Linked DNA regions of Schizosaccharomyces pombe. The protein of the gene in region 2 binds, or shares a complex with, the protein of the main gene of each other region. Each region holds a gene or a part of one and is shown on either strand. Other genes may lie near its edges.

Evidence for each region. Proteins that work in one complex are often made in the same cells at the same time.
Region 1: nse5 (region 2) and nse6 share a complex: the UniProt entries of both Schizosaccharomyces pombe proteins name them as parts of the smc5/smc6 complex.

Annotation. Positions count from the first base shown.
Region 1 is NC_003424.3:5,295,549-5,299,659, reverse strand, and holds nse6 (Smc5-6 complex non-SMC subunit Nse6), read left to right. Parts: upstream 1-1,879; 5' UTR 1,880-1,926; coding exon 1,927-3,495; 3' UTR 3,496-3,611; downstream 3,612-4,111. Other genes in the region: protein tyrosine phosphatase Pyp3, read right to left, coding at 1-429, 535-822; vma4 (V-type ATPase V1 subunit E), read right to left, coding at 3,956-4,111. UniProt on the Schizosaccharomyces pombe protein: Acts in a DNA repair pathway for removal of UV-induced DNA damage that is distinct from classical nucleotide excision repair and in repair of ionizing radiation damage.
Region 2 is NC_003423.3:1,256,170-1,259,721, reverse strand, and holds nse5 (Smc5-6 complex non-SMC subunit Nse5), read right to left. Parts: upstream 1,820-3,552; coding exon 653-1,819; 3' UTR 530-652; downstream 1-529. Other genes in the region: AP-3 adaptor complex subunit Apm3, read left to right, coding at 1-451; prf1 (RNA polymerase II-associated Paf1 complex protein), read left to right, coding at 2,336-2,424, 2,475-2,648, 2,696-3,552. UniProt on the Schizosaccharomyces pombe protein: Acts in a DNA repair pathway for removal of UV-induced DNA damage that is distinct from classical nucleotide excision repair and in repair of ionizing radiation damage.

The DNA of each region.
Region 1 (4,111 bases), on a different chromosome or scaffold from region 2:
CGCCATGAAAGTTCCCGTTCTGCCACAACCCGCTGAACAATGGACTATAATGGGTGCTGTTTCAAAGTCCGGAGAATATGAGAGACTTTTTATATAGCGAGTCAGTGATAGTAGTGAGAAGGTATGTGGTGCACCAAAGTCAGGCCAACCGTTATAGTAAAAATGCAAAATTTTTTTCTTGACCCCGTCCTTGTTCAGCTCAAATTCACGAACTTGAACTTCATTTAATGATGTCAAAGTATAAACTTTTACCAAAATAACGCTTAAATCACCGATATTAAGTGTCTCAAACAGTTCCACTGGCCAATAGATATCACATTTCAGACGATGGCGTTCCCTCAATTTGGTAAGCATAACGATGATGCCTGATTTTGGCACAGATTGCCAGACCATCTTCCAAAAAACATCAATACTGTTCGACGTTGGACCCTATATAAATAAAGAAGACTAAGTTAGTAATTATGTTACAAAAAATGATGAAAAGAAAAAAGGCCAAAGCCGTTTACAATCCCGCAATTTCTTTTTATTCCTAACCTGAGTAGCGATAAATGTTTTCCCAGAAGGGATTTTTACTATGGAAGCATTAATGTAATCACATGCTTCTTTCCACATTGGATCTAAACGAACACGAGTATTTTCATAAGGGACTATGTTGGAGTATCGGTTTCTAGCCAGCGCTTTCTTACTTAGCTTTGGCAACCTAGTATTTAACAGCTCTATCTCTTCCTCATTGAGTCCCTCAATAATCATGTACGCTTTTTCTTTTATTGTGATCAAGGGTGTTAGAACACCATTTTCTGTAGATACTTCTTTAAAAGACATATTGATTTTTTGCGTTTATTCGCTTTTAAACTTCTCACCGAAGTATTTTTTTGTGTCTATCAAAAAGAAAGAATAATTTCTACTAAACGACTTTAAATGATTCCTAAAACCATGACAGAAGTCAGTAAAAAAGAGAAGTATAATTGTTTAATAAATCATCATTGTACGGCCCCCACATAGCGCTAGTTTCTAGTTGTAGTCGTAATCTAGTTCACGTTCACATTCACTTCGTAGGACTAGGCCCAGAGTATTTGCGAATGTCTATGTGGGGGTAACTCGAACCTTTACGAAGCCGGTAGTATGAAGAACAAGCTATATGTGGGATACTTTTATAGGTTGTAAACAACTGTATTGATGATAGTGAATAAAATGATTTAAACGCACTTATGTTCTCTCCAAGGACTTAATCGATCTGCTATACTTTTACTTTCAAAAACAAAAATATTTAAAGTGTAGAGAAAAGTTTTGACGTTTCTTATATAAGGCCAAGTATTATAATACTTGCTCAGCAATTGTTTCATTAAATGCCTGTTTGAATGTCGCCATTGTTCTTTAGGAGTTGTGTTTGACTCGTTTGACTCCCTTACTTGGCTTCTTTGGTTTTAATGTAATTTGTAAAGATTTCTTTGAATGAAAACGTGCCTAAATTGGTTTTAGGTGTTCTTTCTTCTAAGGTTTCCAATAACTTTAACTCAGAATTAGTAAAAATCATTAATTGTTAACAAAAGCTTATGACAGGTTTTTTCTATTCTTTTTTTTTGAATGTTCGCTTAAGAAAAGTCATATGTAAACATCAACGAAGCCAGCTTGGATATGTTTATGATTTCTCCGGTAATAGCAGTTGAAATGCTATAAACTAACAAATTATTCATTTAATAAGAAAATCAATAATTTACTCGATGTTTAATATTATTTGCTTGGAATGCTCAAATTGGATGAAATGAGACTATAAACAACAAAAAAACAATCGTCGTCAAACTATAATGCTATATAATTAAATTATAAACGTTTACTTTCCACTATTTACTATTTCATAATTTTTGTTATATATCCATCCACCCTTTTACCAAAGCACATCAAAAGTGTCTTTGCTGGTATAGTTCTATGAATGCGTCTAATAACATTTCAAAATTTCCTGATTTAGATAATTCTTCAAAATTAATTGACCACATACTTGATAGTGATGATTCTGAAGAGTTGGACGAGCTTCCTGATATCTCTTCTTTGGTGCCTTCGGCAAGAGCCCAATCGCGAAAACAGTATTTGAAAAATGATTCTTCTAATTCATCTACATACAGATGGAATATTGATCTTCTTTCTAGTACTGCTACAATTGACGATTCGGTTGCAAAAAGAAGAAAATTAGCAGTACAAAATTTATTGCAATATGACAGCACTCAAACCTTTCAAACGGGAGATGAAATTGATGAATTAATAGGAAAAAGTGTTGGATCAAATGTTTTGAATGTTCTACGTTCTAACCCTATTTATGATGACGACCTTAGGTACGAATATTGTAGCAATTCAAAAGCTCGTGTTCCAGACTGGAACACCCTGAAAGCAGAATGCTTGAAAGATAACGATTTGGAGTTTAATGAAGGAATTATACCAACAACTTTTGGTGATTTATTATCGGCAAAATTGGTCCCCTTAGATATTGCATTGTCAATATGCAGCTTGCAATTTTTCCGCTCTTTAGGAGACACAACATGCTCTGAATGGATTGCTAACCTAGAAAAGATTTTTTATAGCTATAAAAGCAGCTCTAATAATCTCAACCAAATTGTACGATTTATTTTTGAGACTACTGCAGATATGATTGGCATTGATTTAGCGAAACGACAGGTACCAATCCAGTTGGAACGTACGTCAGCCTCAGAAAATTTAAAAAGCAATTTGAAAATTAAGGTAATTAATTTCCTAAAATGCTGTGGAACTTTGTATCGGTTCTCCGACGACACTGTTCGCTTTGAAATGATTCAGGATGCATGTCGAATCTTAATTGACAATCAAGTGGGCTCATTTTGTAAATGGCAATTTTCTCAATTCATGGAACTTCCAATATCATTGAATCCAGATTTTTTGATCAGTAATATTCATAAGGTGTCTGAAAGTCCTAGAGTTTGGGTTACAATACTATCTTCTTTGTCTCGTTCCTGCCAAAAATTCAGAAAGAAGATTGCTTTTACATTATTTGTTGGGAAACAAAGTAAAAATGATGATTCAGACTTTTCTTCTTTATGTCAACGACTAGATGAAATTTCCGCTTCCTGTAATAATGACTATACAACTTTATTGTACCAGATTCGTACCTTCGGATATGCGGTGGATGAAAAGCATTTTAAAACTAATGAGCGCTTAGAGTGCTTACTGGAAAAATTACGAAAAATAGATTTAACAATATCTGGTTCAACAGACCATTTGCTACTATCGAGATGTGAAGTTAAAGATTGCATACATAGACTTTTTATGGTGCTTTACTATTTAAATACAAACTCAGCACCAGAATTGGAGAGGATTATTGAAAGTGACTTGCCCAATAATAATAAACAAAAGGACAGGTATTTCAAGGATAAAACTTCTAACTTATCGATGAAAGAAAACAAAAGCTTTTCAGCTAAAAAGGTGAAGAAGGGAAAAAAGAAAAATAAACGGCAAGCGTACAAAAGATAAACAATCAGTGTATTTATTAATATTAATTTCAGTGCTGGCGCAAATTCAACAAATTGTATAATACTTTCTAACTAAGAAATCCATAGTTTAATTTAAAAGAAAGTTACTTATTATAATTCCCTTGGAATTACAAATGGACAGAAAAGAAGAAAGAAGTTACCATCTTTTACGATAGTCAAAACTTAGCATCCATTGAAAGATATTGTATCCACTTGATTAATAGAAAGCAGCTATGGGAATAATTTATGATAAGAATCAGCAGAAATCATACACAATCCACATTTAAGAAAACAATGGAAGCCGAACTTGCGATCATTTAGCCTGAAGCATTAAATACTTGGATGAAGCAAAAATTTGAAACAAGTTATAGATAAATGCTTTAAATGAACTTGAGAAAGATTATAAGATAAAGCAAAAGAAATTAATGTCATGAAAGAAACAAATGACGATATCTCAAAATTTAATTATCGAACTTTCGGTTAGGATTTTCACCGAAGAGAAGACGTCTAATTTCAGGAAGGGCTTCTTCCTTCACAATCTCTAAGCGAGCACGCAAAGTGTTATCAACACGAATTTTACCACCCAAACCTACTAAAACGACACCTCCAAGCACAGA
Region 2 (3,552 bases):
TGAAGCAAAAAATAAGTTGGATGGAAGGTTCGAAGTACGTATTCGAAACACCGGGAAAAAATCCGTTGAAAATTTAAAAATCCTAATAACTATTCCTCAAGCTCTAAAGAGCGTTACGGTTACCGAGGGAAATTATATTTTTCGTGCTTCCAAGTATACTCATATGGAAGAAGGTATTCTGGAGTGGTCGGTAAAAAAATTAGCTTGGACATCCCCGGCCTTAGTGTTGACAGGATTCCTGGCCCCCTTAAAGAAAGATGCCAATTCAACCGAAGAGTCAAGTAGCTACTCTAAGCTTGAGCACCTTGATTTACAATATAAACTTCAAGGATCAACCCTTCATAATTTTAAAGTAGAGTCATTGAAGATGCTTAATCATCCAGATAAAAAATCTTATAAAGGGGTCAAGCATACAATTATTGCACAAAATGTTTCATTTCGTTTTCGGTAATAATTAATTTACTTTCTATCTACCCGTTTGTTTATTATATATTATTCATATAAATTTCATTTTCTTAGTTATCACTAATGATTATAATAATTATTTTCCACACAAAGCCTCATTCATTGAAACGATACATATAGTCTATATATATTAGGATACACAATTAATGCCAAATGACTTCTGTTAATTTGTAGTTAAATTATTAAGTTAAACGATTTTATCCAAGGACAATTTTTTTGAAATATCTAATAATACAAGCATGTCTTTGAGTATTGCCATTGGTCTATCAATACCAACTAATTCTGTTTGTTGATACATTGTGTATAACTGCTTCAACGTTGTGTAAAATAGCTCTTTATCAAAGTTGCGATCACTTTCACGAAGGGCCGAACCCAAAAATGAGACCCATGCTCGTAGATGTAGCTTCTGTCTGATTTTGTTTTTCGGAAGGGAAGTGGGTAAAAGTTGAGTTAGCTGTTTAGTAAACTCACAACGTGTATGGCGTATGTTAATTCCAATACCTATTCCTTTCATAAGTATATATTGGCTCAGGCAATACCGGAGATTGGAGGCGCCTAAGTTTCCAAAGAAAAGATCTTGTTGTTTCGCATTCAGTTTTGAAAAACGTTCGTCGAGTTTGCTAAGAAAATGAAAAGCGTCTGTCAGATGTACAACAAAAAATCTTCCCTTCGGAAGCATAGCCCATATAAGGCATAAGAGTTTGGCACCTAGGTTTGCTAGTCTTGATGTTCCTTCAAAACTATTTGAACCTCGACTTTCTGTTTTAGCAGGTGCTTTGGACATACTTGTTGCAAAAGGTGATTCCATTGTTTGCTGGGGAAGAGTGAAACAGGAGAAGCAAATTCTGATGGCATCTTGAAGTTCACACAAATCTTCTCCCATGTATTTTTTCATCAACGCAGATCCGTTTTCCTCAGCATCGATCTCTAATATCCTTAACCATATGTCCATCAAGGACATCCAACGTTCAAGGTCAGGAGGACGAGAAGACATGTATGCAATTAGATCCCAATAATCAACATCTTGGGTAAATAAGCATTGGTTGGAGAAAATCTTCAGATAATTTTCTTTAGGCATATCGTTGTCCGATAGATCATTTTCAAATGACCATGCGTCAAAGTTGATTTTGCTTCTGTTCTCAACCACCTGCTGTAATATCCAATTACAGCTTTCTTGAATATTAGAAGAGGTAGGATATTCTGGGTGGACTAGAAGAGTTATGCACATTCGTATATAACAAGCTGGAATTGGTATAGAGGTCGTCGATAGAAGATATTCTAAAACATCTAATGATTTTGGCAACAAGTCTTCTTCAATACAAAGCTCTATTATTGCCTTTAGAGCCGAGTTCATTTTGAAATGGCGTAAGCAATCTTTGCTACTTTATATGTAAAAGAAGCCAGATATGGAAGAGATATCTTATTTCTTAAAACGATTTTCTTTGTAAAAGAGCATTTAACATGTGCCCTATTTACAGTCTTGTGATTATTATTGAATGGTTTGATTCACGAATTTTATATTGTAACAAAATGCAGAATTCTCAGTTTGAAGTTTTTACGCGACAGAAGAAATATATTCAAAAAGAGGGAAAGAGGAGGACCCCAAATGAGCAGTATTTTAAAAGGAAGCTTTCAACGATAAGGTTTGTAACCAAGGAAGACAACATCTGCAAAAATTATTTCGTAAAAAAAAAATTAAAAAAAAAATCACTTTTCAAATTATAAAAACATTATTCTTTTAATGTACTAGCAGATAGTACCTTTGAAAGCTAGTAGATAAAAGTTTCGCTGCTGTTATGAAATTGGTGGAGAGTCCTTGGAACCGTTATTAGTCAGGTATCTAGCTAATCTGATCCTGTCCTCCACCAAGATGGCCGACTTTCAGGATGAATTGTTGGCATTAGCTGGTATTGATGACTCAGATGTTGCTTCAAACCGTAAAAGGGCTCATGATGATTTGTAAGAAAGCAAATTTATCGGATTGACCTTGCTAACAAAACATATTTTAGAGATGATGTGTTGAGCAGCAGTTCAGACGAAGACAATAATGAAAATGTTGGACAGGATTATGCGGAAGAGTCTGGAGGAGAAGGAAATGAGAAGTCGGAAGACGAATTTGAAGAAAAATTCAAAAACCCGTATCGTCTAGAGGGCAAGTTTAAAGATGAAGCAGACAGAGCAAAGTACGTTGATTTTTACATTTTTCATAAAGTTGTCTAACCAAATAAAGGATAATGGCAATGACGGAAATTGAGAGAGAGAGTATTCTCTTCGAACGTGAAGAAGAAATTTCAAAGTTGATGGAAAGGCGTGAATTGGCAATTCGCCTCCATCAGCAAAATGCTCAGTATATGGCGCAATCTACTAGAAGGTCTACTCGTGACAAGCCTTTAACTTCAGCAGCCGCTGGCAAACGTGATAAGCTTACTGAGCTGAAAAAGCGCCGCCAGGAACGTTCAGCTAGAAGCGTCTCTGAAAGAACTAGAAAAAGGAGCCCTGTTTCCGATTATGAAGAACAGAATGAGTCGGAGAAGAGCGAAGAAGAGGAAGGTTACTCTCCCAGCTATGCTGAGGAAAAAGTTGAACAAGTTTCAAAAGATAATGCATCCGCCAATTTGTACGATTTAAATGCAATTCGTCTTGGGCGTAAACATGTCGCGGAGTACATGTATCATCCTATCTTTGAGTCCACCGTCACTGGATGCTTTGTTCGGGTTAAAATTGGTGAGCGTGATGGACAAGGTGTATATCGCTTATGTCAAGTCAAGGGTATTTTAGAAAGCAGAAAGCCGTATCGTGTTGATGGTGTTTTAACTAAAGTTTCACTGGAATGTTTTCATGGTCGCTCGAAAAGAGTGTTCGATGTCAACGTCTTATCAAATGAGCCTTTTTCCGACCATGATTTCCAACGATGGCATCACCAAATGATGGAAGATAAGCTTTCCATGCCCTCTAAAAATTTTGTACAACGAAAGCTGAATGACCTCAGGGATATGAGTAAATACGTTTTAAGCGAAAAGGAGGTTTCTGATATTATTAACAGGAAGAAAGAGTTATCGCGTGTTCCTTCGAACATCGCTGCTGAAA